2 linked regions of the Mytilus edulis genome follow. The protein of the gene in region 1 purifies or fractionates together with the protein of each later gene. This does not show direct contact. Links are inferred from orthologs where the notes say so. Each region holds a gene or a part of one and is shown on either strand. Other genes may lie near its edges. The genes, in order: AP-2 complex subunit sigma and F-BAR domain only protein 2-like.

Evidence for each region.
Region 2: the proteins of AP-2 complex subunit sigma (region 1) and F-BAR domain only protein 2-like purify together in Homo sapiens (co-immunoprecipitation; 3 studies listed by BioGRID and IntAct, counting the BioPlex papers as one, with this or other methods). This does not show direct contact. The link is inferred for Mytilus edulis from reciprocal best matches to the Homo sapiens genes AP2S1 and FCHO2.

What each region holds. Positions count from the first base shown.
Region 1 is NC_092346.1:91,456,558-91,472,700, forward strand, and holds AP-2 complex subunit sigma, read left to right. Parts: upstream 1-10,369; 5' UTR 10,370-10,476; coding exon 10,477-10,479; intron 10,480-12,314; coding exon 12,315-12,464; intron 12,465-12,960; coding exon 12,961-13,134; intron 13,135-13,905; coding exon 13,906-14,007; 3' UTR 14,008-15,215; downstream 15,216-16,143. Other genes in the region: DNA-directed RNA polymerases I and III subunit RPAC1-like, read right to left, coding at 474-540, 1,588-1,653, 2,915-2,964, 6,325-6,441, 6,980-7,112, 7,675-7,782, 9,155-9,226, 10,234-10,296. UniProt on the Homo sapiens protein: Component of the adaptor protein complex 2 (AP-2). Adaptor protein complexes function in protein transport via transport vesicles in different membrane traffic pathways.
Region 2 is NC_092344.1:9,082,431-9,098,409, forward strand, and holds the start of F-BAR domain only protein 2-like, read left to right. Parts: upstream 1-9,065; 5' UTR 9,066-9,167; coding exon 9,168-9,194; intron 9,195-12,795; coding exon 12,796-12,887; intron 12,888-15,979. UniProt on the Homo sapiens protein: Functions in an early step of clathrin-mediated endocytosis. Has both a membrane binding/bending activity and the ability to recruit proteins essential to the formation of functional clathrin-coated pits.

The sequences.
Region 1 (16,143 bases):
CCCCTGCTGGCAGCCATCTTGGAAGATGGATCGCCTACAAAGTATCGACACTTGGTCAGCACCTCATGAGGAAAATTCATGCCATGTTTGGTTTTATTCCATTCAGTGGTTCTCTAGAAGAAGTTCAAAATGTAAAAAGTTAACGACGACGGACGACAGACGACGGACGACAGACGCCAAGTGATGAGAAAAGCTCACTGGGCCCTTAGGGCCAGGTGAGCTAAAAAATTACACTGAAAACAAGAAAAGAAAAAACAAGATTAATTGATATAAAGTCATAAGCCTTCGTCATTGACGTTGCTTTGGAATATCTTTATTACTCATTAGCTGTTCCAAATCTTATATTTACCTCTCATGATTTTTGCAGCAGTGAATATTATGACTGTGTAAAGAAGACTCTGTGCTTTTAGCCGATGAGAAAAGAGACATTTAAAGTCATCTGATAAAATGTATTCTTTCTAAAACTAACTTACCAACTGGTGAGAACTTTGCATGATCTTTGCCTATACCTTTGACACAATGCATTCTGATGTCTAACTCCTAAAGTGAAAGAATAAAAATTACTAGTTGGCATTAAGAACCTTAACGAAATTTAAAGGAGTTGGTCATGTTTGCTCAAAGTTTTCGATCAGATAATCAGAAAGTCTTTGATGTGATACAAACCTAACAGTCCCTAACAGGTTTTTTTCAGAAAGGCTGAAATCATTTTATTAGAAAAGCTAAAAGTTTTCAGTCATGTAAACTGAAGTCTCAATTCAATACCCAAAAGTAGCCTGAAAGTCTTTGGTTAGGTAAATCAAAAGTCTAGGATCAGGTAGGCTGAAAATCTCTGTTTAGTTTAGCTTAGTTGAGATCTCACAAACATTTTTAACCCTGCAGCAGTTTTGTGCCTGTCCCTGGAGCATCTGGCCTTGGTAAGTCTGTTTTTTTTTTTAAATTTTGGTGCATTTATATGTTTCAGAGTTTAGTGGGACATTCATTTTTGTTGAGTTAGTACCCATTCTTGTTTAGGGGCTAGCTGAAGCCGGCCTCCCAGGATTTCCTTGCTGTGTTTGCCTGCTCTTTGGTCGGGTTGTTGTCTCTTTCACACATTACCAGTTTCCATTCTCAATTGTATTTGAATAGACAAATAGGCTTTAAGACTTTGGTAAGTAAGCCAGAAGTCTTTGGTAAGGTTAGCTGTACATTTTGCCAATAAAATAAAATAAACTGTCTTTCGATTATTTTTGTCATCAGGTTCCTATCTCATTGACCTATAGGATCTACATCTTCTTTCACTCATATTGAATTGTAAGAAAACTTCAAGGCCACTGTTTTTTAAAATAGAAACTTTTGGAAAAATTGTTTTTCTGGATGGTAACAAAGTTTTTCTTTGATAGTTTCAAATAAAACTTGGCTATGAAAAAGAGGATATTTGTGGGTTGTGGTTGTGAATTTTTTTATTTCTGTACTTCATTGCAGATATATATATATCCATGTTTCACTTCTACGTTTAGTTCAGAAAATTCAATAAATTTGAAACTCATTTGATTTTAGAGGAAGTTGGTTCCAAAATCTATGCTTCATAGCTATAGGTATAATGCTTACCTGCCCTGGTCTTAACTTTGCTATTAAAATGTCATCATGGACTGGCCTGATTTCTCCTTCTTTGAACTAAAACAAAGAATGAATGCATTGATATCTATATATTACAAATAGTTGCATTTCTCTACAAGCATATATACATGATATTAGCACAATCATAATAAGTAAAATAACTGTGTTTTCCAATGAATTTGGTAGTACCATTAATATGTTAAGATAGACACAGTAGTCAGTTGATTCAAGTTTTATTTGGTTTAGCTAAGAAGTTGCTGTCAGAAGCTGCTACACTATTACCTGATGAATCCTTACAGCAATGTTTTAAAACTAAGCAAGAAAATAGTCCTGTTGCCTCAATTTTTATTTTCATTTTTAGAGAAGATTTTCCCCCCTTTTCTGTCACCCAAAATGGTTTTCAATGTACCAATCAATTTTGTACAACCGGCATCTTGAAAATATTCTCTGACCCATACATTTTATTTTATTTGTAAAAAAAGCATGATAAAAATGTAGCTTAAGCTAATTATTAAAAAATTCCTAATTATGATAGATAGAACACTGTGAATGAGGGCTATTCCAGAAAAAAATGTATGGGTGGGGGTTGGGTTGGAAGGCAGTTTTTGTCAGCACCTGCCACCCAGACAATTGTAATTGAGAATTATAGTGCATTATAGTGTGAAAAGTTGCTCCGATACCCATCACCCATGTATTATTAATACAATGTGCCTTCCAACACCCCCCCCCCCATACATTTTTTTCTGGAATAGCCCAGAATACAATTATTTTTTCAACTCAGCTATTCAAGGGGAGATAACTCAATTTTTTAAATAATTTATCAAAAAGATGTTTAAATCATGTTTTTTTATTCAAAAATATAATACTTTCAATATTAAATATAATAAACCAGAGTATACTCATTCTTAAAATACAACATGTGGCCAAATACACAACTTCCAACTGAGTAACTTTTTACCAAGATAAGTTTACTTGAAGTACTGTGCTGAATTTTTACAAGCACTTAAAATCTTATACTTAAGGTGGTTCGTGGGTCTAAATCATTTATATAGGATTTCTCTATATTTTTCTATAAATGAACTTTATCTTATAGTTAATAGAAAAATAAAATAAGAAAATGGGGTCACCGTTCATTTGCCCATGCTTCTTTCGAAGGCAGATTGTGAGCGCAAATGAACGGTGACCCCACTTTTTTATTGTATTTTTCTATTAACTATAAGATAAAGTTCATTTATAGAAAAATATAGAGAAATCCTATATAAATGATTTAGACCCGCGAACCCCCTTAAAGAGGATTTTAAGTAATGAAAAAACTTACAATTTCAGCTTGATTTCCTATTGGAACCCACTTCAGATGTTTTGTTGTCACTGGAATATCATAAACAGCAATTATAAGATTTTTGGAAAATAACCAGTCATAATACAATAATTTATGTACATGTAGCTAGTGGATATAATATTTCTCATTCTATAAAAATTCTATTGTTGAGAAACGGAATTTCTTCACTTGCAACTAATCTATAAATTTTACGATCTGAGGCTTAATATAAAAAAAAAAAAAACAACATTATTGGACTCCGGATATGTTTTCTCCGTGAATTATATAGTGGGAATAACATTTTTCTCTATTGTTATGAGGATAATAGTTTGGTAAATTTCAACATTCTCTCCAAACAGTCTGTACGAAATATTGTTTTTGTAAATATTAATAACCTTTTCAGACATGGTTTAATTTTCAGGCAATCACATTGGTAAATTCAGAGAGTTGCAGGGAAATAAAGATCTTAAAGATATTTAAATATCAAGACAATGAGTGCTGTAAACTTTTAAACTACCTACGAATAGGAAATGTCTGTATGTAGAAATGGTTTACTAGTATAAATCTGCAGAACAAATATAAAATAATTCCCTTTCATAGAAATTTAGGATAATTTGACAAAAGTCTTCTACCAAAGGTTTTTCAAACGAACAGACCAACAGACTACAGCTGTTACTAGACCTGCTTTTGCACTTTCAATTTGTAAGTTATAATCAAAGAGCTGAAAGCTCTGAAGAAAAATGACGCCACTGTCTCTAATATTGGGATAGTTTTTATGCAAGTCTTGATTTTCACATACCGTAATTAGTTTAACAATGCAACATGTATCGTAAGCATATAATTGATATTCGTATATGTGTGTGTGTGTGAAGTGAAGGTGACAACTGGCTGGTTTTTTAAGACAAATGAATAGGTCAAGACTAGCTGAATTGTACAAATAAATACCGTAGAAAGGCTTGTATATTTCTCACTGGTACATAGTCTGAATCTGAGTCCGTTCGCTTCCATTCACGTTTGCGCCCACTCATTTTCACCCCTTTCACTTTCACACCCTAAATGTTCGCACCCAATCTTAATTGGTTTTGTGTTTAATAACTATGTAAGCAAGTGTTTTCTTATAAGTATAATTGTTGTCATTGTCTCAAAATAAAGTGAGACAGCAATTTTTTTTTTGTGTTGAATAAATCTTAATTATGTTTTGGATAAGGTATTGCTAAAAATAATAATAATCCTTTCTAAATAAAGTGGTATTTTGTCAACGTTTTATTTTGTGTTGAATAACTCTTAATCATGTTTTGGTTAGTGTATTGCTATAACTTGTTTCATTGACTTGTTTCAAAATGAAGTGAGATTCTGACTATGTTTGTTTCTGCGTGTTGAATAAATTTTATCATGTTTTGGTTATATTAGTGGATTGCTATATTTTGGTTTCTATGTTTTATTGTTTCGTTGTTTCAGATCAATGGGACCAAGCTGTTAAAAACAATTATCTTTTGTGTTTTTTCCTTTAAAATCTTCAATGTTTTACTCATACCAAGCTATAAATACATTCAGTATTTACACCAAAGCAATTTAAAACAACAACCATAAATTTCCAATTATTCAACTAGAATTTGAATTAAAATTGAGCGTGAATGAGTAGAGTGTGAATGTGCGAATGTGTAGGGTGCGAAAATGTATTGGGCACAAACAGACCTGATGCCACACAGTCTGAACCCCCTTCTCCCACAAAATATTAAGTAAATAATCTTTTTGTTACTGCTATCAAAGGTCTAATGAAACTCAGATAGTTTCAAACATTTGTCAAAGAATTCTAGTCAAACTGGCACCTAGTTAAATTGGCACCTGAACGTCGTAGGAAGGCGTCCCAGAAAAATAATAAAATAGCCTTGCCAGTCGTCATAATTATTTGGACTAATACATGAGATATTGTGTATTTTTCTGCATTATTTTAACCAGTTGAGCATTTTACAGGATTGTTGGTTTAATGCTGTTTAAACTTTACTGAAAAACAAACACCTTAAATTTGCTAATTATTTGGCATGAAAGTTTGATTTATTGAAAGGGACTCATAGTTTTCCATTTTATTTTAATAATTGACTTGTTTTTACAATTACACAAATTGTCTAATTGTTAAAACAACAGCTTTGGTAAGGGCTTCGTTGTTTACCTTTATACACTACATATTCACTTTCGTTTCGTGGTTTACCAAAATACACAACAACATATTCACTATGTACTTGGTAACAGTAATTAATTAATTGAATAGAAAATATTATATCAAATATTATTGGATGCCGAATTGACGTCGAATAGGTGCCGATTTGACTAGATGCCAATTTAACCAGGTGCCGACTTGACTTGTACGTTTCAATTCCTCTGCGATCGTTTGCGGTATTTTCTTGAGAAAACCTATTTTCCATCATCAAAGAGAAGAAGAAACTGCTTTAAAATGATTCTGGAACGCTTCATGATTGTTAAAATAAGTTTAATTCACTCAAAAACAATTTTAAAACTTGCGATTAAACAGGAAGTTTCCAAAGCACGTGTAAAAGAAGAAATTAACCGGTGAGAGTGGAAATCCGTATATGACAGATATCCCTATAGTACGACTTTGAAAGTAAAACAGTTCAATCCTTTTGTAAAACAATCTTTAATATACCTATCACATTAATGTTTGAATGGTCTTAAGCTTATTCAAACCATATAAGTCGGTATGAAACACCAAAACGGAATGAACAATAACCGATTACGGTTTGTAGTTTACAAATTCTAAAACTGGTTCCCGTCAAACTACAACACTTTGTTCGAGTGTAGTGGAATACAAGCAAAAACCAGTGTAAACTGGGTCCTGGCTGGTTTAATACTACACAATGATGCATATTGATAACACAAGCAGATTCCAGTTTGTTTGGAAAATAGGAAATACGAAACCAAGCGCGGTAGGCAGAGCAATGTAATGAAGTTCAGGTCGGCAGTTATGGAACAATGACTGCGTCATTTTCCAAAAACCAGTATTGCTTATTTATTTTGAAAAGAAAAATATATGACCATGATGACACTGAAGATGAATTGTTGGAATTTTTATTTCTTTAACTTACTATGTATGTTTTTACTCTTTTAATACATCCTTTCCTGTTTCATTCTGTATTTTCTTTGTTACATCATTAAATGCATGGTATAATTGTGCCAAAAAAATCTAGTTACTTCAAATAAGTGTGGATCAATTGTTATGAGATATCAAGTGACTCAAAGTTTTTGGGGGATTTACCAGAATTTTTAAAGGACATGGATTTCTGATGTGAAAAACCTAAGTATGAATTTGGACTATTTTTCTTGGTTCAATAAACAATTATTTCCAATTCTTGTCCGAACTTTGTGAAATAATTAAAATCCAGAAATCAATATACCTTTGTGGTCTTTATACAGATCATCAGGATCTGTTGTGTCTGCAACCTTCAAACACTTTGTACATTTGACCTTCAACTGAAATTCTAAAGTATCACCAGCGGTTCCCTCTGTATCACCTAAAAAGGTAAATTATTATTTCAGAGATAAATGTAACTAGGTGTTACTGCTAATGTGTTGAGGGCTTTATTTGGCTATAAGTCCTGAATACTTTTATTTACTACCTATTGATTGAAAAACCCCATATCCATATCTGCCGGTCTGATTTTAAGGCACAACCATAAAATCAAACATATCACAATTATAAAGGATGGGAATGTTTTACACCAAGAATCGTCAAATAATAATTTGTTGTTTCTGTACAAAATATATAAACATAAAAAAGACCTTATCTGTGCTAATTTTGATTAATATTTTTTCAGCAAAAGTAAAACAAATTATGTTCTTTTTTATTTCATTCCCATAGCTTCTATTTTAAAAGTGTTAATGCTTTGCTGGTGTCTGTCTTTATTTTATTGTTGAAAATACCAGTATCATTTCATTTCAACTCTGTGTAATTTATGATTTACAAGATGGTTGATCTTAAAAATCTGTGTTGAAAAAAATGAAATCAGTCTTAAAGTACATCTGTATGAAATCCTTAATTCTTATGAATACCTTCCTGTCGATATTCAAACAGTCTTGGATCAGCTTTAATAGGTATCAATCCCAGTCTGTGTGCTAATACTTCATCTTGTATTATAGAGGTATTATTGTAAATAAACACTTTTTCTATGGCCATTGTGGGTACCTTAAATAATAAATAATAGTAGTGTCAATCCATTACAAACATCTTTTAACATGTATCACTTAAAAGATCTGACTAATAGCAAGAATATGAGAAAACACTTGTTTGAATTTTTGTGTGATTTAATATACTTAGTCAACTAGACCACCAGAGCTTGTGTTTATGTTGTTTATTTACTGATTTTAAATAAAGTCAATTTAATTGAAACATGCTTTGTTTGATTAATTCTAAATGCTTTGGCTAAAGAGGCATCACTAGTGAGATTTGGGGTTTAACCTGCTATTTATTACTTACTTCTGAAAGAAGAATCCTTCTAAATGCATTGGCTAAAGAGGCATCACTAGTGAGATTTAGGGTTTAACCTGCTATTTTTTACTTACTTCTGAAAGAAGAATCCTTCTAAATACATTGGCTGTAGAAGCATAACTCCTAACGTGTCTACACAAGTGTGAGTTTGGGTGTAACTTGCTATATTTTACTTACTTCTGAAAGAAGAATCCTTCTAAATGCATTGGCTATAGAAGCATTACTAGTGTGAGTTTGTAACCTGCTATTTTTTACTTACTTCTGAAAGAAGAATCCTTCTAAATGCATTGGCTATAGAAGCATCTACTCCTACCATATCAAATTCAAGTTCATCATGGCTCATCTTTACCATATCAATTCTGAACTTCTAAAAAAGTATAATTGGTTTACAACTATAACCTTGTTCTAACAAACTACAGTAAAACCTGTATAAACCGGCCGGCTACGGGACTATGAAAAAGGGCCGGTTTGGGCAGTGAGCCGGTTTATTCAGGTTTCCGTATCGACCGGAAGTTAATGACTTGTGACGTCCGATAGTTTGCATATAAAAGTTCTCTTTGATAGTTAAGAATATCTGATCAATTAAAATATTTTCACTTCGTTTTCCATTGTTTACATTTGCATCCTAATGCTCGCGTTGTTTGGATTGTGAGACGAGAGTTTCGATTTACTTCCATGATCATTTATTTGAAATGTTGGAATGGCCGATCAAAAAGCCAGAATATTATCAAACGTAATCTCATCACTATTGAAACGTTGTCGTACAGTTTACTATACCCATTGATTGTTGTCATCTGGGTGGTTTTCATTATCAAGGTCATTTGTTTAGGGGTTCACAGCAGGGAACCCAGGGTTTCGACATCACGTTGTAAATTTCTTATGCTGCGATTTAAATTTGTTTATCCAAGTTAACGTTACAAAACGTAAGTTAAATCCGAGATATATTCGGTGTGTCTTGTCGTTTAATTGACACGTTTATAATGTTTTAATAAATAATACAGCTCACTACTGTACGATTGAAAGTTCACTTCACAGTTTAACACCTGACTAATTGATTAATTATCCTGAAAAGTCATATTGTATAAAGTAAACAATTATGTTTTGATTGCATATCGATCAGTGAAATTAATTAGACAAACCGGTTTTGACAGGTAATAATTAATGTAATTAAGAGTATTGGGACTTCATAATTAGACCGGAATTCGGAATACACAGGGTCCGGTTTACAAAGGGTATTTTAACAAAGACTTTGAAGGAAAAAAAATGGGACTTTCATTTTCGGCCGGAATGTACAGGAAGCCGGTTTATTCAGGGTCCGGTTTAATCAGGTTTGACTGTACATGTAAAATGCATTGTTTCATTAGTTTAATGTCTTTGCTTTACTATAATTTACTTCTTTTTTTTTTTAAATACTTTGCAACTTATATTTGTTGCTTGTTTTTAATTTTACGGTGTACTGTTATTCCACTGTCCAAGTTTAGTGGTGGGTTGGCGCCTTAAAACTAGTTCAACTTTAACTGCCACATTGTATGTGCCTGTCCCAAACTGTAATTAAGTGGTTGATGTTTTTTGCTAAATATCATATTTGTATTTCATTATTATTTTGTAAATAAATCAGGCAGTAAGTTGTCTCTTTGGAATTGCATTACATTAGTCATTTTGAGGCTTTTTATAGCTGACTATGAGGTGTGGGTTTCAATTATTGTTGAAGGCCGGACAGTAACCTATACAAATCTTACCTTTTCAAATTTTTTCTGACTCCAAGAGTCATCATAATCTTCATAATTTCCAGGAAAGTCAGAGCTATGTGTCTACAAATATAATTCATGAGTTATGTTTTTATTACATATTTAGAATAAGTATCTTAACATAAATTACACACCCACAACCTATCAGGTCTGTGACTGAATTTATTTTGAGTATTCATATGGTCATTAACTCATTTGATAAAGTCATGCTGATTATAAAGGTGCACACAGTTTTCTCTGCTTTCAAAATCTTTGTTTGAACCTGTCCTGGTTTTCTTACTACAACCAGAGACTACTTGTAGTTATATATTTTTTGGCCGATGATTGAATTTCATAGTGTTATTCCCTGTATAATGACAAAGTTCAGGTGTGATTATGACTTGTGTACAATGTATATAGCGAATTTTAATTCCAAATACACCATTTATTCAACAAATTATGGTCATTTGCATAAATCATCACTGTTTTCTCGTAGTCACGTGATAATCTTTGAAAATGAAAGGCAAATGGAAAAATCGATGGGTCTCTGTGAAAACTGTTAAAATATGGAAAAATAAAAGTTGGCAGGTAGGTGAAACTTACATAAATGAAAAGATAAATGAAAAATGAACAGATTGATGCCTGATTTATTTAATTCCAAGGCCGTCAGTCGGCACCAGAAGCGACGAAGCAGCGCATCTATTTTGGGTGGGCAAATATCCACTTTTTGATATGGGACGAGCTCTGACGTCCCACGGCCCCAGCTTGTCTGACAAAACAGCCGTTGGACCTCAGAGTAATCTCGGACTAGATGAACGTGAATAGTGCAGGGATACAGGCGACCCCTCTATCAGATTATTATATCTGGTAAATGACCTCATAAAGACACGTATAATTGACGAGTTTTATCCAGTGACGGATGAACTCGAAAGTGGTCTATTGTTTCAACATATATTATAAGCTTTAGGAACAGGATCAGGACATGTATCTTTTCCTCTTTTTATACAGAAATTATAAGACTCAAAATTAACCAGAAGCTTACAACCTTTACTATAGTATACTAGTTCCATATAAATGCTGAAAAAACATACATTTTCTACAGCATGCTCCCGTAGAGTAACTTTCCTCCTGACGTCATCTATTAGGTCTGTCATGTCAGACTTGGGTATTTTTTCTAAGCTACATGCATGTTTGTAAACAGCTCCATGTGCTGGTCCTCCTTTATAAAGATCATCTGAACGCTTTGAAGCAACGTAAAACTCCTTGGTGCAAAACGTTCTCCTGACGTTGAATGTGGGAGGTTAATCATTTCCGGTATACGAAATTATTCAGAAATGGTAACACAGCCTCTTTTTATTATATTTTAAGGCATTTATTCATGATTGAACACACATTATTTGGCCGTAACACTTTCTCAGTTGATAATAACTTGCAATAGTGCTAGGTGTATTCGGAGTTGAGATCCACATTTTGATCTGAGTGTTGTTGACACTGTCACTTTTGACAGCAATGCTAAAAAAATTTGAATGTATAACTTACAATACAATTTCTGAGTGGTGGAATTTAATATTTTGTGGGAGTTCTTGGCCTATTGATGCTTTTCCTCTGCTTCTTCTTAAAAAAAACGGGAGTCGTTACTTTCTGCAGAAAGTCTGAAAGAATAAAGTTCTAACTTCTGTTGCCCGGGCTACTTCTGTCTGACAGGCGCACACAGTTTTAACCCTCTTGCTGCCGGGGGGACACATGTGTCCACACCGACTGTGCTGGAGGGACACATATGTCCATGTTTTAACTTATGCTAGCTTCTCATCATTACTGTACCTCTTTCAAAATAAAAGACTGAAACTTAAAAAGTGTAATATGTTTCTACAATGACTCTCAAATGTAACGGTCATTACAGCATGACATCATATATCAAATGACATCATTGTTTGGCATGTCACATTGTCGAGCGGTCATATTTTCTGGCATATGAATGCAACCCTGAAAAACATCTGGCAGCAAAAGGGTTAAGTAAGTTATGTTAGTGCATAAAAGGTAGCACAATACAAAGATTTTTCATCCCCAATCAGACATCTTTAAACTGATGTAATTCCACTCATCTTTCTTTAAATGTTATAAATGAGGTACCAAAAGAAAGAAGAAGGATTATTCTTTCAAATTGTGATAATTTCATTAAGACATATCTTCATAGCATCCTAAAAAAAATTATAGATTCTTGCACAACACAGTTTGACCTCCAAAACTGTGTCTCAGATTTTTCCTATTGTATTTCATTCTCTCATAAATCTTCAATGAAGTTTGCAACATCAATTCATTAGAGACCACTTAGTTCAATTGAGTATAAAATTTGTTCTATTGATGATTTTGGAAATCTGAGACACAGTTTTGGAGGTCAAGCTGTGTTGTACAAGAATCTATAAAATATTTTGGGATGCTATGAAAAACAAAGACGCTAAATTCATTCAAGTGTGGACATCAAAATATAGCGACTAATTACATAATAATTAATTATGTAATAGTTATGTCATAATGAAATTATCACAATTTGAAAGATTGATCTTTCTTCTTTCTTTTGGTACTTCATTTATAAAATATAAAGAAGGATGAAATGAATTACATCAGTTTAAAGTTGTCTGATTGGGAGTGAAAAAATCTTTGTATTGTGCTACCTTAAATTGGTATCTGTCTGTTCACTTACAAACACATTCAGACCCTACATGTGCGCTAATTGAGCCTTGGGTCTGTTACACCAAATTCATGTCGCACATTTACTGGTTGGATAGACCACTTTCAAGTTATGTCCACCACTTGAAAAAATCATCAATTATGCACACCATTTTGACGATTGCTGAAATTTAACATATTAAAAGGACATGTTACATGTACATGTATGTACCTATATATTTTGAAGCTGTATTTTAGAGTTATGTGTATTCTGAATTATTCAAGAGGCAATTTCACAAAGGCACAGGGAATCTATGACATCTGACTTCCACTTCAAAGGTTCATAAGATACTTTTATCTTTACTGGTCTTGTGAAAAATAACACCAGGATGTTGACCAATGTCCAGCAGTCTGCTCAAGTAATTTAATGAAGCTATTATATTAAACTTTTGCTGCTATTTAACTTTATGGTATTAACTGTAAATTTACAATACATTTTTTCTAGATTCGTTTTATCCTGATACAGAACCGGGCTGGCAAAACGCGTCTGGCTAAGTGGTATATGCACTTTGATGATGATGAAAAACAGAAACTAATTGAAGAAGTGCATGCTGTTGTTACTGTCCGTGATGCTAAACACACTAATTTTGTAGAGGTACATTGTATGCTGTGTGATACTAGCACATGTACAATACCCATCATATGAATAAACAAACAATTATTTTTGAAGGGTCTCTTGTACTAAAAGATCAGTGTGATGCAATATAATTCTTGAAAAACAATGGACACAGTAAGTTTCAAGTGGTGTATCTTAAAAATGCTGAAACATCAACTTGAAACTTAGCACTTATTACCAGTTGAAATACATGAAAAACATCACCACAAGTTACTAAATGACACAGAAATTAACAACTATCATGACTATTCAACATTGATTGCCCATACTGGGAAGTCAGCCATAAAAGACCCTGAAATGACAAATGTAAAAAAAATTAAAGAAGAAAACTAAAGGCCAAAATGAATGTACAAAATAATGAATGCTTACCTGTAGTTTATGTTCAAGCAATCCAAAGATTGTTTTTTTTTTGTATTTTAAAGGGTTATTTGTAATAGATATACCTGTGTATAATAATATGTAATTTTTTTTGCAGTTTAGGAATTTTAAGATTGTGTACAGAAGATATGCTGGTTTATATTTCTGTATCTGTGTTGATGTAAACGACAACAATCTTGCATACTTAGAGGCAATACACAATTTTGTAGAAGTGCTTAATGAATATTTCCATAATGTCTGTGAATTAGATCTTGTATTCAACTTTTATAAGGTAAAGTATTTATATTGTGTCTCAACATAAAACCTTTATTTTGTGTTCATAATTATACAAGTTGAATAAAAGGATCTTAATAGATATATGAATGACAGTATTCCTTTTGAAGTTGGTGGTTTTCTCTTGGGTCCCGGCTTCCTCAACCAATAAAGCTTGTCACCATGACTTAGCCAAGTGTGCTGTAAGTGATATTAAAGACCAACAATCAATCTATCAATCTTATAAAATTCATGATGTTGTAACTGACAGAACAAGTCATGCAATTACAGAATTTCCATTAAGAAGTTTTAACTATTTATTTTCTATATTATGTGTCCTCTTTGTTGAGCCTCAACATTTTAAGTAATTGGTTTCTATGGTTTTCATACAATTTATAAGGGTCTGTACAGTGAAATCAGGAAAACAAATGTTCTAATCTATCATATCTTTATAGAAAAAAAAGAAGAAAAAAAAACCAACAACAAAAAGCAAGAAAGGAGAAAAACTTATGAACCATATCAACAAACGACAACCACTGAACAACAGGTTCCTGACTTAGGACAGGTGCAAACAAATGCTGCAGTTTAAATGTTTTAAAATCCCAGTTTGTCAACCATATTGAGGCCCTGTCCTAGGTCATGGTCCTGCAGCTTTGATTTAATAAGATTGTAGCTATCTATAAGATTATTCCTGAATTTTCTGCTGACAGACAAGACATATCTTTGTGTCAACAGTTTATTTAATGGGAAACTTCGATCTTCAGTTATATTTATTTTGTTTTATTTTTAGGTTTACAGTGTAGTGGATGAGATGTTTTTAGCAGGAGAAATTCGAGAGACAAGTCAAACAAAAGTTTTAAAACAACTTCTTATGTTATCATCATTAGAGTAAATACTATGTTATAGGACTTAATAGACCAAAGTGTTGTAGACAGATGTCATTTATTGTGTATGATTTTATTACTATGAACTTTGTTGGTTATTTTTAACAGAAATGTTACAATAATTGGCTATTTAGATAAAGATGTCATAATCCATATGTAAAACAACAAGTAATGTTTCTGAGGACAGTATCTGATTGCAAGGTGATTTTTGCCTAAAAAAAACAGAAAAAAGCTAGAAGTGATTAGAGTGGAAAGTGTAGAACTTTTTTTATTTCGTTGTATTATATAAAAGTTATCATTATATTATCAAAATGTTGTTTTGTTGAGACATGAAAATAATGAGAACGTTAATAGATATTGTTCATATGAATGATACATTCCAAATTCACCTAGTTATTGTTAATGTAAATACATGATATTATTGCATCCTCCAGCATGTTTTCGTGTTTCATGGTTACTGGAGAACTACATATATATATATATATATACAACTCGTCTAAACATCAACCCAACAATGTTAGATCGGTTAATTTGCTTTTGCAAATTTTTTTATCATCCCTCGCCGGGATTTGAACCCATGCTACTGAGATATCGTGTAGAGTTGTCACTGACTCAGACGTACTTATATATATATACCTATCAGAAAGGGAAGGAAATTTAGATATACAAAATCTAATTGCAGCTAAGAAAAATTATTATAATAGCATTTTGGTAAGACCCTAATGAAACTGAAGAGGCCTCTGGATCAGTTGCATAGATGAGGAGGTGTAGGAAGGGTCCTGATCCCAAAATCCTGGGCTTCAAAAACATGAAATCCAGAGGTCCCGAATTTAAATAAATTTTAATCCTGTCATCCCAAAATTTCGAAAAAAGTATTCCTCTGATTCCTAAAGAGTCAATCCCGGAATAAGTTTAAAAACACCTGACCCCAGAGTCCCAATAATGGTCCTATCCCCCCTCATAAATCTCTATATACAGGAAACACTATCAATGTTAAATACTCATTTATTCTTTATTTTAATGAGTATTGATATATCAAATATAAATTAGAGGTACAAAACTGTTCTTATATTTATGATAACAAAGGTGAAATACCATTTTTTTGTTACTGGTATTTGCTGCAATGGTTTATTGTCATAACGGCAGCATTATAAATAATACCATATAATTGGCAATGTGCAATGTACATTCTGGAAATAAAGTATGTATACATATATATATCGTTTGTTTTATGCATTTATTTGATATTGTTAACATATTCTGATCAGGTTGATTTAGGACATATCCACTGTTACAGTCTAAAAATGAGATTGGCTTCATTGTGTTATAAGTCCCCTACCAACAATACGAAAAGGACTTTAGGTTTGCACTCGGTCCGTCTGTCTGTCAGTCTTGGTCAGTCAAATTAGTTTTCCACATTTTTAGCTCACCTGGCCCAAATGGCCAGGTGAGCTTTTCTATTCACTTGGTGTCCGTCGTCGTTAACTTTTTTTTTTTTTAACAAACATCTTCTCCTCTGAAACTACTGGGCCAAATTTAACCAAACTTAGTCACAATCATCACTAGGGTATCTTGTTTAAAAAATGTGTCTGGTGACCCTGCCACCCACCAAAAATGGCCGCCATGGCTAGAAATAGAACATAGGGGTAAAATGTTGAATCGGACAACAGGTTGTTGGGTTGCTGCCCCTGAATTGGTAATTTTAAAGAAATTTTGTTGTTTTTATTGGTTATTATCTTGAATACTATTATAGATAAACTGTAATCAGCAATATTGTTCAGCAAAGTAAGATCTACAAATAAGTCAATCGACCAAAGTGGTTATTTGACCTCTGAAGGAGTTATTGCCCTTTATAGTAATGTTTTACCAATTTTTCGTAAATTTTAGTTATCTTTTACAAAAATCTTCTTCTCTGAAACTACTGGGTCAAATTTAACCAAACTTTGCCACAATCATTATTAGGATATCTAGTTTAAAAAATATGTTAGATGACCCAGCAAACCAATCAAGATGGCTGCCATGGCTTAAAATAGAACACAGGGGTAAAATGTAGATTTTGGCTTATAACTCTGAAACCAAAGCATTTAGAGCAAATCTGACAAGTGGTTGAATTGTTTGTCAAGTCAAAAGTTATCTGCCCTGAA
Region 2 (15,979 bases), on another chromosome or scaffold:
CATTGAAAAAGCTCCGAACTATCTCCCTTTGGTGCAAAAATGCCATTTTTTGGCATTAAATTGAAATATCGTTTTTAACTCATCAGTGACCTATATTTTTATTATTATTTTAAAATTTAAAAAAGTAAGGATTGCCAGTATAGACTAGGAAATATTATATATAAAATGAATCAATAAATTTCGTTCTTACTTAGAAGCCTATCTGTTAATATATATCAAACTGTCCAACCTAAACACTTGATATCTCTAAAGATAAATCTTCAATTTATAGCCTCTAAAGCCTTAAATTTAAAATTTCTAGATTTCAATAATTTAGAGTACCCCATATCTATATAATCATGATAATTGGGCAAAGTGTACAACCCTGATTGGATTGGACTTAACTATTGGAGTGAACTAAACAAATCCAAGGATTCTATCAGGCCAAGATTTTACCCTTTGCCATATAATTGGTTCAGGATCAAGAAACCAAAAGAGTGATACAAGGCAACACATAGGAATGATTTTACAGGCAGATCCTTTATAGATTTAAGGAGAGGTGGTATGAGTGCCAATGAGACAACTCTCTCTCCAAGTCATACATGTAAAAGTAAACCTTTATAGGTAAAAGTACGGCCTTCAACACGTAGGCTTGGCTCACAGCAAACAGCATACATGTAAAAGTAAACCATTATAGGTCAGAGTACGGCCTTCAACACGTAGGCTTGGCTCACAGCAAACAGCATACTATAAAAGTAAACCTTTATAGGTCAAAGTACGGCCTTCAACACGTAGGTTTGGCTCACAGCAAACAGCATACTATAAAAGTCCCCAAAATGACTGGTGAAAAAACAAGAAAACAGGAAAACCAAGGTCTCATACATAAAAAAAAATTGTAAGGGTTCTGTGGAACCTAATGTCTCGCCTACTTTTGCTGAAGTACATTTTCGGAGTGATGACGACGAAATGTAAGATTGCTGTGCCTTACTTTTGCAACAAAAGTTGCAGGCTCCACAAAAAACAAGACCAAGAAACACTTATGAATCAAGACAACAAATGACAACAACTGAACAACAGGTTCCTGACTTAGGACAGGTGCAAACAAATGCAGCGGGTTTAAACATTTTAATAGGTGCCAACCTTCACCCTAACCTGAAATAATAATACTGTTACATCACAACATAGAAAGTTACATATGTAGATATATATACTCAGTAATAAACAATTATACCAATCATGAGGTAAGATAAATTTTCAAAAATCACTAAACAAAAAATATATCAAATATATGACCAACATCTTACTGGGTATGGTTAGTCTGTCCAAGGCTCATCAAACAAGTGAAACTGCGAGCTACTGCTCACTGATGATACCCCCGCCGCAAGTGGATAATATTAATTGTGTAAAAATATGCAAGTGTTCGGTAAACAGGAAGTTGTCGAGTGATGAATCTGAAAACGCATCACAAAGTATAGCTGACTTATATTAACCCTTAAACCAATCTCAGAATCCTTGTATTGTTGTTCTTGAGAAAAATGTGACGAAAAATTTTCAACTTGGCTATCATGTGTAAAATCAAACAAGTGTTCGGTAAACAGGAAGTTGTTGAGTGATGAATCTGAAAACGCATCACACGGTATAGCTGACTTATGTCAAGCCTGAAACCAAATTTCAGAAATCCTGGTAGTGTAGTTCCTGAGAAAAATGTGACGAAAAATATTCATGGGACGGACGGACTGACGGAAGGACAGACAGAGGTAAAACAGTATACCCCCCTTTTTTTTCAAAGCAGGGGTATAATTATATGAAGTGTAGCATAATTTATTCCTGAGAAATTGTTGATGTGCATGCAGTATTGACTTAATGAAGGCAATAAAAAAACAAAAATTCTCTACCTTTTGAAAATTGAAGTGTCTTGTAGGATTGATATTACTTCATTTAATGACTAAAGGTCACTTGAATTAATTCATCACAAATCCTATCACTGAATAGCACTATGCAGTAAAATATTCATAAAATATTCAATGTATATAAACTTTGTCATCAGTTTTAAAATCTTAAATTATGTATTTTAATATATCCACTTGCAGTCTTCAGCTTTTTAAATTGAATTAAATCTTTTCCTTCAGTGGGAGTATGTAAAAGCGCTAACACATTATGATTATATGAAAACAAATAAAAAGTACAATGTGATTTTCTTATTTGAATATCAAACAGATGTTTAATCAAAACACAGACTATAGTACATTGATTATTTATCTTTATCATACATATAATACATAGTATTATCCATTTATACTTGTATTATAGGTCTCTGTTTATAAATATATATTGACCGTACAAAATTTTATTGAACTGTTAAATTTAAAATTATAGGTTTTTAAACAACAAAAAGAAAACGCAAATAACATTCTTTTATTTTCGTGGGTACCAATGCAATTAATGTGGATTGTGGGGAATAATATTTTTGTTGATATTTGATTTCAGGGTTATGCCTAAGTCTGCATACATGCCTAAGGAAAAGTTTTGTGGAACATTGAAATAATCCTGTACCCACGAAATCATTGAAAAATGGTATCCCACTAGATTATAATGTATCCACAGTGTAACATTCATATAATTTGGAATCAATTAAGATGACAATATTTGTTTAATAAATACAGGTACAAGAAATAAGATCTGGTCAAAATGTGCGAATGGCGCACGACCTTATGAAAGTTAGTAATAACATATGATTGACAATCTAATTATAGGCAGACACATGTTCACTCATAGCACATGGATCTGTTTTGGTCTATGTAATTTGTACTACTGCATACCTTCACTGGATAAAAGGCAAGGCACATTTCAATCACATTATAAAATTACAAGAATTCAATGAATTAAAGAATAATGATATTGTACAAAATATTTTGCATGCATAAAATTTTCAAAATTACGATTGTAAATGTTTTTTTTCTATATAAGAAGAAATCATGGGAAAAAGATCTTGCAATACTTGAAATGGTATGATATACATTGCATTATCATGTAATTAAAGGGGGGGCACCCTCCTATCAGGTTCCCCATAATCTATCAGTGTAGTCTGTACAGCTGAGATTAAGAATAACATGAATGTGGCCAAACAGATAATGATGATGCCAAGGTTGTTATCAGTCTGTTACAACTAATTGTAGGACAACTGCTTAGCTTGTGGTCTTACCTAGTAAACTCCTGAACAAACTTGACACTTTAAAATACATATGCATTAATCCATTAAATAATCAATCTCTCCTGAATTTATATTACACTTTAAAACGTTTTAATAATGCAATCGTTTACAGCTTTAAAATTTTTTATGAAAATAGAGAAAACAACACCTTCCACAAAAATAAACACTTCAAAGTTAAAGCTATCCGTCAAATTAATCATACATATGTGCTTAGCGTGACAAATATGCACTTTTTGCATTACATATATAAATGTAATAGTAAGTATTAAATTTAAAAACAATATTGATATTCCTTACCCGATTTAAATATTTTCAATTATAATCCATACAGGATCTGAAGGCTTTATGAATATATCAATAAGTCTATAGTAAATATTTGGCATGGTATCATCAGAAAACTTTATCAGCTGTATGCTATCATTGTGTCACATCACAAAGTTCAAAAACTTGGGTAACCATCCAACTATGTCACTTAACCTGTAATATAACATTATCTTGTTATTAATAAGATATCTTCCTTAAGATAATTAATACAATAAGTATGATAAAACAGATCAATATACAATGTACGGGATATGTATTTTTTTCTAGTTCAAGGCTGACATCTCATGTAAAGTAAAAGTATATGCAAAAAAAAAAATACACAGAAGGGTCAGATGACAGCAAAACAAATAGATGTATTGTCATTTGGCCATTGTCATTTGTAATTTTTCAATTATCATATATGTATTGGAAATGCATTATATAAATAGATTACTGATGGTTTTTTTTCTACAAGATAAGGATCAGATATACATTGTAATGTACCAAGTTTCAAAAACATAAATAATCTGCTATTTTCCTAGACATTGTCAATAAGTTAATGTTAGTGACGGTGTCAATGACATATTGTTCATGATGTCTTCACATTCTCTTTCTACATGTACATCTAAGAAAACACATCTGAAATAGCCTGATGGAAAATTAACTAGTAGTGCATGTAGATCAAAGGGATTTTCTTAAAATTAGTCATAATTGAAGTTATAAGTATCATAAACTTTACCTAAGTAGCTGTCCTTTTATTTTATAAAGTTTAGGTCAGAATATCTAAATTAGGATTAAAGTAGCTCAAACTGCATTGTTTCACAATTAATATCATTTATTTTATCTATCTTTCAAGACTACATGTAGTTTGAAAAATACAGTACTTATAAATCTTGTAAAATGCTGAATAAAAATAAACGCAAGTTCCCATTATTACAAGGTTATTTTGATTGTTTTAAAATATTAAGTACATGTAATTACTTTATTTTAATCTAAATACATGTAATGGAACACTTTCAAGACAATAATATGCATATTTTAAACACATAAGTACAGTCTTGGTCTAATGTTATAAGTATTTATAGTTAGGATTGTATAATTTAAGTCTAAAGATCATATTACATAAAAATAAATGCAAAGTTATGACACAACAATATTTTATTCTATATTAAAATGAAAAATAATTTCCGGACAGTCATGACAGTGTGGTAAACAGACAAAAAAAAATTCAATTGCTGTTTTAAAATTGTCATCCAAAATATTTATCTAAGAAAAGTCAGCGTCCTGTTCATATTAACGTTTTTCCTACTCATTGTAATATCCGCAATTATATGTATCAATCTATCTCTCTAAATATACACATCCTGTTCTTATTATAGTTTCTATTACTAGAGATGTCCCAACTTACAACATAACTTATTTCTTATTTAAGTGTCTAACCTACCTCACATAAAATGCTTTCACAATGTTAAGTTATTTCTTATTTTTGTTCCCGTAAATAAATGGGAGATAATCCAATTTGAATCATGGTCAATCACCTATTACCATGATTACAAATGCATTTTACATCAGATACTTATGAAAAGTGTAAATCAGGTTGCAAGTCCGGATGTCTCTACTAAGTACTCACTTCTTACTATGAATAAATACATGTATGTTGTTGATGCTGTTTATCCTTTTCACGTAACAGTATTCCTCATTAAAAAAACATTTAGTTTATATTCCACTCACTTTTTTACTCTATCTGGGTTTTTTTTCAGTATTTCAGGCTTTTGCTCACTAACATCATTTAGTGAAGAGGTAAGACTTTGCTGTTTACACAAATCAATAGTTCTGACAGTATGATGCATCTACTGTCTGTAGGAAGGGTCAAGAAAGGGTAATTTTTGCTTAATTTAATACTTGACCGATCTGGTCATGAATGACGAAGACAAATAGTCAAATATCAGACTTACTATATGTCATGAATAATTATTCTCTTCTCCAGTTTGAACATCTTAATTTCAGACATTAATATAACTGACATTTTTGGAGTATCTTGCAATATACTTTATACACACAGTCATATTTATTATTTTTTTACAAAGACGCTTTATTGATTTGAAATTTACAAGTGTCAATAAATGGTGTAGAAGTCCAGACCTTAAAATATGACTGCAGTGACTAGAGATTACAATCCATAACTTAAAAAAACAGGAAATACATTAGAGTCCACAACATCAGATATCAGATTAAATAAATAAGTGTATCAACTAATGTAATTAATATTATCAATTTTCATTAAATCAGGAAATGTGATATTTTTGTTGATATTTAAAAGTATTCAATACAGTCTGATGTACAAAAAAATCAATATTTTACTTGACTGGTTTTACAAAAAAAGTTGTTTAGTCCCAAATACATGTTTTTTTTTGTACATATTTTATTAATATTATTCAATGCATACATCATTCATGTGGTTGGGATCTCTTTGTTTAAAACAAAAAGTTGTTTACTATATATAATCAGTGGCGGATCCAGGGGGGGGTTCCGGGGGTGCGCACCCCCCCTTTATTTTTGCCGATCAATGCATTTGTATCGGGACATATGTTTTGCACCCCCCCTGCACCCCCCCTTTGCCCTGGGTTAGCACCCCCCTTTCGAAAATTCCTGCATCCGCCCCTGCTAATTACACTAAATTTTCTCATTAGTTATAAAAGATCACTATTAAAGTCAGAAATGGAAGTAATATACTGACTTTCTTAATGCACCACACAAACAAACCTTAAGTCTCACATTAAAAATAAAATCTATATAACAGAAATCAAAAGAAACATGCATTCTAGGCCAGTAGATGGGATTATAATATCACTATATAGAGTTTTTCTTATATGATGAAATTGTAATTTTTTTTTAAAGTGAAATGCATGTTATATTGCGTCTGAGGATAATACTACAATAGGACTTGGAGAAAAACCTAGTACAGATAATTAGGAATAGTTCAAATTCGATGCGAATGACATAAAGAGATTGATATGTAGTTTACTGTCAATGAATGCCCGTGTATCCCAAACTCTGTCTATTCGACAAAAGATCATTCGGTCAGACAGAAATTTTCAAAATTTTTAGTTGAATATATCATGTATATAGAAGAAAAACGTCAAATTTCTTTTTCGGTCAGGCAAACCCTAAAAACAGTTTGGTGCAGACTGGAATGCTGTTGTAATTTTCATGTTCTGACAACATGTATGTAGATTTTTATCCTGCAAGGTGCAATCACTAATTATATATTATCATTTCTGTGACTTCCTATTGATAGAAAGGACAATATATATTTAGTGATTGCACCTTGCAGGAAAAATTCTACATGTGCTGTCAGAACATGAAAATTACAGGAAAAGGAGTTACATATGCCATTATAATAATAAATGGTGTTTACATGTATGATGGATGGAATATGGAGTTGTTACAAGGGTTATAAATCAAAATTAATTTACAAGATTATTTAGAGTACTCTTCAGAGGCGGATTTAGGGGGGGCCCGGGTCTCCCTTTTTGGGAAAAAAATTGGTTGCTTATATAGGGAATCACTGAAGCGTAACTGGAGCAGGCCCCCTCTTAGGCAGTCAGTGGGCCCCCACTTAAGAAAATTCCTGGATCCGCCACTCTCTTCATATCTTCTGCAAACTATTGTTTACATACAGGAATAAATACTGTCAATAAATATAAAATAACATAGTTTTTCCATAATCTTGATAAATAACAGTTATTTGTAGAGGTGGTTGATGCAATTCTTCCAGTCAACTTAAATTTATGAAGGGAAAAAAATATACTATTAGTAAATCACTAAACTATAAGTATTTAGTAATTACAAGTATATTTTATAAATACAACCTAGCTGTCAATCTGACTTTGACCATTTTGAACTTATTTCAACTTTTTAACCAGAACTTTTTAAATTCTTGGCCTAAAATCTTTAATTTTGGTTCATTTTAATGACAAAAATATTGATCTTTCAAACAGTTGTTGTGACTCTGACTTTATTAACATGTCTGTGATTACCCAATACAGTATTAACTTTGTTCACCATATCTTGATGTTGAGAGATAGGGTTTGGATAAGACTGTTTGCGATGAACAGGATAGCTGAAATGGTGTGAATTGTTTAAGTGTATGCCATGTGTTTTCTATTGTATGTGAACTTTGTAATGTCTGTATGATACAACCACAGTAGAAGATCCAGAAGGGGGGTCCAGGGGCAAAAATACTCCCTTTTTGAAATAGCTGGATCCACCCCTGCACCCAGTGTGAATAAATCGGTTGTCTTCTACAAGATGGTGTTTTTTTTTATGAATATGAATGCTCAGAGTTCTACATTTACCACATAGTGTACAGTACAAGGGAGTTCAACCAACCATTTATGATTTTTTTTTTACCCTCAACTATCTGGCACCCCCACAGAAATTAACTGTAATACATGTAATACATTATTATGTTACTTTAGTTTAGTTTACTGTTTGGGTGCCATATGGGATTCTTGTCCTATATGAACAGTATTTTTTTTGGAAGAAGCAAGTTGATGATCTTTTAAGTGAATTCAGTCACTAGTCAACATATATTTATTTTTTAATCGTCTTGTACCTACATGACTTTGTGCAATTAAATATTGCCAATGAGAGGGTTTTAATGGGGGTACCTGTAAGAGGAATAAAGGTAAAAATTCTTGTCAAATGACGTTAATATTGTCAATAACAGAATAAGAGGGTCTTAATGGGTAGTTGGTGCACGACGATAAAATGTACACTTTCTTTCAGACAATTAAAAAGATGGACTGATTTAGGCAATGAAATTTTTCAAAAAACACCAAAATGATAATCCCTGATATAAAAGACGAACTTAACCATAAAATGTCAAGTGTTCCACTGCATATGATTCGGGGTAAGTTCTTTATCTAAACAAGGATGTGTATAAATCTAAATCTACTATACAATTTGCCATTTCAATTATATTAGGAATGCATTATGACGTCACGATTTCCATTGAAAAAGCATGCATAGTACGAAAACATGTGAGGTACGAAAACATATGATCTGACCATAGATTGTGGAGGGGCGTAAAGGGGTGGTATCTGCACAGAAGACTGCGAAATAAAATTGCCAGATAGCACGTTGAGATTTTTACCGATTTCACGAAACACGTCAAATAACGAACCTATTTCACGGTTGCACGTGAAATAAAAATGGCAAAACACGTTGCCCGAAAATTACCCTTTACCACCCTCATTGTGCCTTTACCACCCTCATTGTGCATCACTTCATGCATGTGTTCAAAAACTTTCAAAGACTGTAAATTAGTGAGTGTAAAATTGTCAAAGTTATCAAATTGTGGCCACATGGGGATACCAAAATCTATAACTTCAATTTTGTACGAAGCCTTATCTCTTTTTAAATAAATCCGAAATATTTCTGAGCTGTAAAGAAGAAATTGCCATGTGCATTTATACCTTTTTTGGTTTTTTTTGTACTTTCCCGGAAATTTTTAACTGACAGCTGACGACATATAAGCTTAGACCCGCAAGGTAAAAGATCGTTGGTTAAAGCGCTAATCTGAGTAAGAAAACGGATGTGCGCAAACGCAAAACAATCAAAATAATCGCCATTTTCATGGAACAAACCAGATGCAGTTTCAAAATTTAGGATGACAACTTTCTCAGATCATTTTTGGGTACTTAAATAAATAAGGTTTTCAGAGACGGACTATGAGATGACATTTACTTGAAAAAAGCTGCGAAAAAGCGACACCATTTCATGCAATTGACACTTGAAAAGGGGGTGTTGTCTAGATCATGTTTTATATTATCTTGTGTTCATATTTGCATTTTACCACTGTGCCTCAAATGCATATTCATATTCTGCATCCCAAGTACTATTTCATTCATTTGAATATTTGATATAATATCAGTATCATTTCTGTGACAAGGAAACAATTTATAACCTTGAAGCTCTTTAGACTTTACCTTTAGTTACTTCCCTTTCCATTTATTCACCAGGATACAATCAATAAACCTTATTACTATAAGTAAATCTGCAACACTTGATCTTATGATGTCAAACAATCACTTTTCCTTAGTGGCATCAGGCATTTGTTATGATGTAGAAATTCTACAGGAACTTTTGTGATGTCTAGAAATTGGCGATAAGGTGTAAAGACCAATGTTGAGTTTTTCAGGGTCATAGTTTACAAAGACTCAAGTTGATTGATTATGTAACTCTGGACTCTGAATCTACTATTCTACAAATTCTGTCCCTTTACTTCCAATGAAGATTCTTATCTTAAGACCAATCCATTGACTTATATATATATCAATATTAACGTCTTGCATGTCCATATGACCATGCAGTGATGCACTCAGAAAACTTCCACCTTGTCTGGAATTTAGCACAATTTTATATATTTTAATGTTGCTTCCTGACACTGATGTATTTTGACATCACTTATATTAATTGCTAGGCGTTGAATAAACTCAATTTATAAATGACAACAATCTGGATTTAGAGAAAAACATTCATGCCACACAGCACTTATCAAAATAATTGACAAATGGTTAGAAGAATTTGACAAAGGCAATTTTACTGCTGTTTTATTTCTAGATTTTAAAAAAGCATTTGACACTGTAAATCATAACATCTCATTATCGAAACTGAATTTATATAAATGTGATGATCACTCTGTTAAATGGTTTTCATCCTATCTCTCAAATAGATTGCAAAAGGTTAAAATTGGAACAACTGAATCAGGATACAATAATGTAACATTTGGGGTCCCACAAGGTTCCATATTAGGACCTTTATTATTCTTAATCTATATAAATGATCTCCCGTTTGAATTAGAACACACAGAGTCTGAATTATATGCCGATGACACAACTTTGCATTTATCGTCCAAATCTATTTCAAACTTAAACTCTTATTTAAATAAAGACTTTGAAAACCTAATTGAATGATGTGATAAAAACAATATGATAATAAATAACAAGAAGTCCAAATGTATGCTTATGGAATCTGAGAGAAAACTTGAGAATTGTAACGATGTCTTGTGTGTATTATCACAAAATCAAACTGCATTTGACAATGTAGAAGTGGAAAAACTTCTTGGTATCCATATTGATAAAAATCTATCATGGTCAATTCACATAGATAAAGTATGTGAAATATTTTCAAGCAGATTATACCTGCTAAAAAGATTAAAACGATACTTACCTCGCAAAGGTCTTATCCTTTTTTATAATAGTTATATATTACCGATAATTGATTATTGTTGCAGGATATGGGGTTTTACCGCAAATTGCAACATTGAGCTGATTCATAAACTACAAAAGCGCACAGCAAGATTAATTTTGAATAAGCCTTTTGATTATCCATCAATATCAATGTTTAAAGAACTTAATTGGATGACCATTTTTACTCGGATAAAATATTTTCAAGCCACTTTAATGTTTAAATGTATGAATGGACTAGCGCCAGATTATCTTACAATTAAATTTACTGCGTGCAGTGATTTATATAGTTATTCTCTTAGGTCAACAACATCTGGACATCTTCATATACCAAGGCCAAAGTCTGAATACTTCAAAAAGACTTTTCAATATTCTGGTCTAATCATTTGGAATAATTTCCCAAATGATTTAAAGGATTTAAGACATATACAGTGTTCTAGGATTTTTTTGGCACCTTGACTTACCACGGGTAAGATCAATAAAAAAATTACTTACCCACATCTAAAAGTTAAATCCGCCAACCAATGCGGACGGGGCAAAGCATACCCCCTGGTCCTTTTTTCAACATCATACAGTTTGTCTCTCTGCTTTTTGTCAAGTTTGGGCTTTTTTGGTGGGGGTGATGCTTGATTTATATCGTTTAGCCTTTTTGAAGTAAATCCAAACTTATGCAAACTCATGAAACTTTGAATATTGTAATTTACTGAACAAAGCTGGATTCGGATACGATTGAATTTTGTACAAAATTAAAAAAAAACGATTTCTTACTAAATTTGACAAATATGTTATAGTTATTACTATGTCATTTATTAAGAGCTATAATAAATGCAACTGTAAGTTTATTTTCCTCTGATGACAAGAAAAAAAATCGTTTATGTCCCGATTTAAGCACCAGTTATCAATCCGGATTTTTCGATTTTACCGACACCGTGACCGACTTTTAGAATGATAGGAGAAGAATGTGGTCTCTTTTGCGCTTGATTACACCTAGTAAACGAGTGCTTGAATAAAAGCGCCGATAGACATCGACAAAATCTTCGATCTTTTATCAAAGTTTTTTCTCGTGATTTAATAAAAATAAAAAGCAGATATGGGAAAATTGAAGAGGACCGGGAAATTTCAAGAGTTTTTCGGCTTCCCCGAACTTGAAAATTGACTTACCACCGGGTGACAAAGGCTAAAAAATGACTTACCCGTTGTCCTAATCCACTTACCCCGGGTAACGGGTAATGGGAATCCTAGAACACTGCATATAGAAAGCTTTAAGATGAAATGTGTTAATCTCTTTATCATAAAACAAAATGAGTAGTCAAACTTTTTTAGGACATTCTTGCCATGCTAGTTCTACAGTCTGTTTTCATGCTTGTGTATATATATATTTGTAATTGTGTACATATCTATTGATTATTGTTCTATATGAATTATTCATTTAAATGTGTGAAGGCCTTGTGTGAGATTAACAATTGTATGTTAAATGAGTTACCTTCGTTAAATAAAGAATTTATTATTATTATTATACCAAACGCATTTATCTACTTAACACAACAATTTATCATGCTTTGATTGACTGGAAATTGGTTCAACAATTGAAATGAAGATTTCTAAAATATGCATATTTTAGGAATTTCAAAATGTGACTGAAAATATAAATTTGCCTTAGCTGACAATGGCTGATGTGGAATCTTTGAAATGTTTTATAAAAATTGCTCAAAACAAATCCGCTTTTCCTGTACATGTGTTGTTCCTAGGATATCTGGAAATTTTCTTGTATTTGTTTTTCTTTGCCAAAATTGTATAAAGAAAATTTGCTTATAATAATTGAAATCGTCCCTTAGATCCTTAAACAATTAGTTACATTGAAACAGGTCAGAAAACACCTGATGTTTTAAAAAAAAACTACATGTACATGTACTTAAAAAAACAATGTTGACTAAATGGCAAAAAAAGATATAAATTATGAAATATATATGTGATTATAGTTGGGAAGGCAAGTATGTATCATGCTGTATCATTTTGGTCAAGTATAACCAATATTTTTTTTATTTTTAGGGAGAAAAGAACAATGGCTTCTATGTGCTGTATCATAATATGAAACATGGCCAGACGGCTTCTAAAGACTTCATAGACTTTCTGAGAGAAAGGTATTTTTAACTTCTAAAGACTTCATAGACTTTCTGAGAGAAAGGTATTTTTAACTTCTAAAGACTTCATAGACTTTCTGAGAGAAAGGTATTTTTAACTTCTAAAGACTTCATAGACTTTCTGAGAGAAAGGTATTTTTATACGACCGCAAAATTTGAAAAATTTTTCGTCGTATATTGCTATCACGTTGGCGTCGTCGTCGTCGTCGTCCGGCGTCCGAATACTTTTAGTTTTCGCACTCTAACTTTAGTAAAAGTGAATGGAAATCTATGAAATTTTAACACAAGGTTTATGACCACAAAAGGAAGGTTGGTATTGATTTTGGGAGTTTTGGTCCCAACATTTTAGGAATTAGGGGCCAAAAAGGGCCCAAATAAGCATTTTCTTGGTTTTCGCACTATAACTTTAGTTTAAGTTAATAGAAATCTATGAAATTTTGACACAAGGTTTATGACCACAAAAGGAAGGTTGGGATTGATTTTGGGGGTTTTGGTTCCAACAGTTTAGGAATTAAGGGCCAAAAAAAGGGCCCAAATAAGCATTATTCTTGGTTTTCGCACAATAACTTTAGTATAAGTAAATAGAAATCAATGAAATTTTAGCACAAGGTTTATGACCACAAAAGGAAGGTTGGGATTGATTTTTGGAGTTGAGGTCACAACAGTTTATGAATTAGGGGCCAAAAAGGGGCCCAAATAAGCATTATTTTTGGTTTTTGCACCATAACTTTAGTATAAGTAAATAGAAATCTATGAAATTTAAACACAAGGTTTATGACCATAAAAGGAAGGTTGGGTTTGATTTTGGGAGTTTTGGTCCTAACAGTTTATGAATAAGGGGCCCAAAGGGTCCAAAATTGAACTTTGTGTGATTTCATCAAAAATTAAAAAATTAAGTTTGATTTTAACAGAAATTGAATCCTTGGGGTTCTTTGATATGCTGAATTTAAAAATGTACTTAGATTTTTAATTATTGGCCTAGTTTTCAAGTTGGTCCAAATGGGGGTCCAAAATTAAACTTTGTTTGATTTCATCAAAAATTGAATAAATGGGTTCTTTGATATGCCAAATCTAACTGTGTATGTAGATTCTTAATTTTTGGTCCAGTTTTCAAATTGGTCTACATTAAGGTCCAAAGGGTCCAAAATTAAACTAAGTTTGATTTTAACAAAAATTAAATTCTTGGGCTTATTTGATATGCTTTATCTAAATATGTACTTTGATTTTTGATTATGGGCCCAGTTTTCAAGTTGGTCCAAATCAGGATTCCATATCAAGTATTGTGCAATAGCAAGAAATTTTCAATTGCACAGTATTGCACAATAGCAAGAAATATCTAATTGCACAATATTGTGCAATAGCAATTAATTTTCAATTGGAGTTATCTTTCTTTGTATAGAATAGTAGTTGATAATATATATTGGAAATTTGCCAGACATGACTATCAGGGATCTCCATGGCCTATTTAACGATGGCGCCCCGCCATCGTTCAAATGTCATGCGCCATCGTCAAATGACTCGCGCCATCGTTAAATTGTCTTGCGCCATCGTTAAATGTCTTCCGCCATCGTTCAAAACTTCATCGTTTTTTGTAGCCCGACGCCATTTTTTTTATCAATTATAATCAAATGCATGTAATTGCATAACCCTTAGGCTTTTTATGTTATAATCCAATACAGTTCTAACGCCTGAGGAATCTACGGATTAAGATCGCTTATCACTTGTACCTGAGCTTGTACAGGTAGATCAACAAACCAGACACGAGAATACTATCTGAGGATAGACGATTCATTTGTCGAAATAATCAACTAAGTTTTAGCAAATGATTATGATAATTTAGATTAAATAAATAAATTAATAATCCAGTTGCAAAGAAAACAGTTTAACAAGTCGAACACGTGCTTTGTTTTGACTTACGCAATCAGCATCCCCCTTTTTTAAGAAGTACAAAATAAGACGCAAGTAACTCGAGTACTGCTGTAACAATAATTTAGAATTACTTTAAAAGTTTAAAAGTAAAAACTTTAAATATTTTCTGTAAAGAAGTATCGTATCGTAATTCCGAATTCATTTCGTATATTACAATCAATTTGATACATCCGCGTTTCCGGTTTCTATTCAGACTCGAAAGATACATGTTACACAGCATCAATTTGCCAGATAAAGTCATTAAAAACCTGTTCATTTGTCAACGTTTGCTTTACAAATCTCTTTAACCTTTTACATAACCCGTACGAATCGTTTTGTTGTTGATGCAAATCAGCCATACCGGTAATGGGTTCTGAATTTGACAGTGTCCATGAAAAATAAGCTCCACATCATATGATTTTTAACCCCCATAACAATTACCAAAAAAACAAGAAATCTACATGGGGACCGTCATGACAGCCTTTGGTCATTCTCGACTAAGGGGGGACCATGAAGACTTAGCATTTGAATGGTTAAAAACGGCAATAAATAAAAATATTGATACTTCTAATTCTATAATGAAAATTCAAATAAATATAATTTAAATAAGCAATGAATTAGCATTTTCACCATTCCTTGTATGGAGGGATAAAATACTTCCGATCGCGCTACACTGTACAATGTAGACACGGTTTGTAATGGTGAAAGTTCCTCCATCGTTCAATTTTCATCCATGGAGATCCCTGACTATGATGTCATTTTCTATTTTTATTTGCCAATAACTTTATGTAAATAACTTCATTGGAAATTTGCCAATATAAAATGTTGCTGATGAAGCTTTTTTTCCTTATCTTATCTAAAATGTTTTTAGATAATGTATGTTGGAAATTTGCCAGACATGACTATGATGTCATTTTCTATTTTTATTTGCCAATAACTTTATGTAAATAACTTCATTGGAAATTTGCCAATATAAAATGTTGCTGATGAAGTTTTTTTATTGTTTTATACAATAAACAATGTATATTCACTTTTACTACCAACCAATCTTTACCATTCAGTGATAACAAGCACTTTATTTTACATTTTAATATTTTATGATGTAAAAGAGTAGTTATTGTTGCAAACTCCATTAGAAATTTGAATTGATATCAGTTTTGGAAAAGGGAAACGGGGATGTGAAA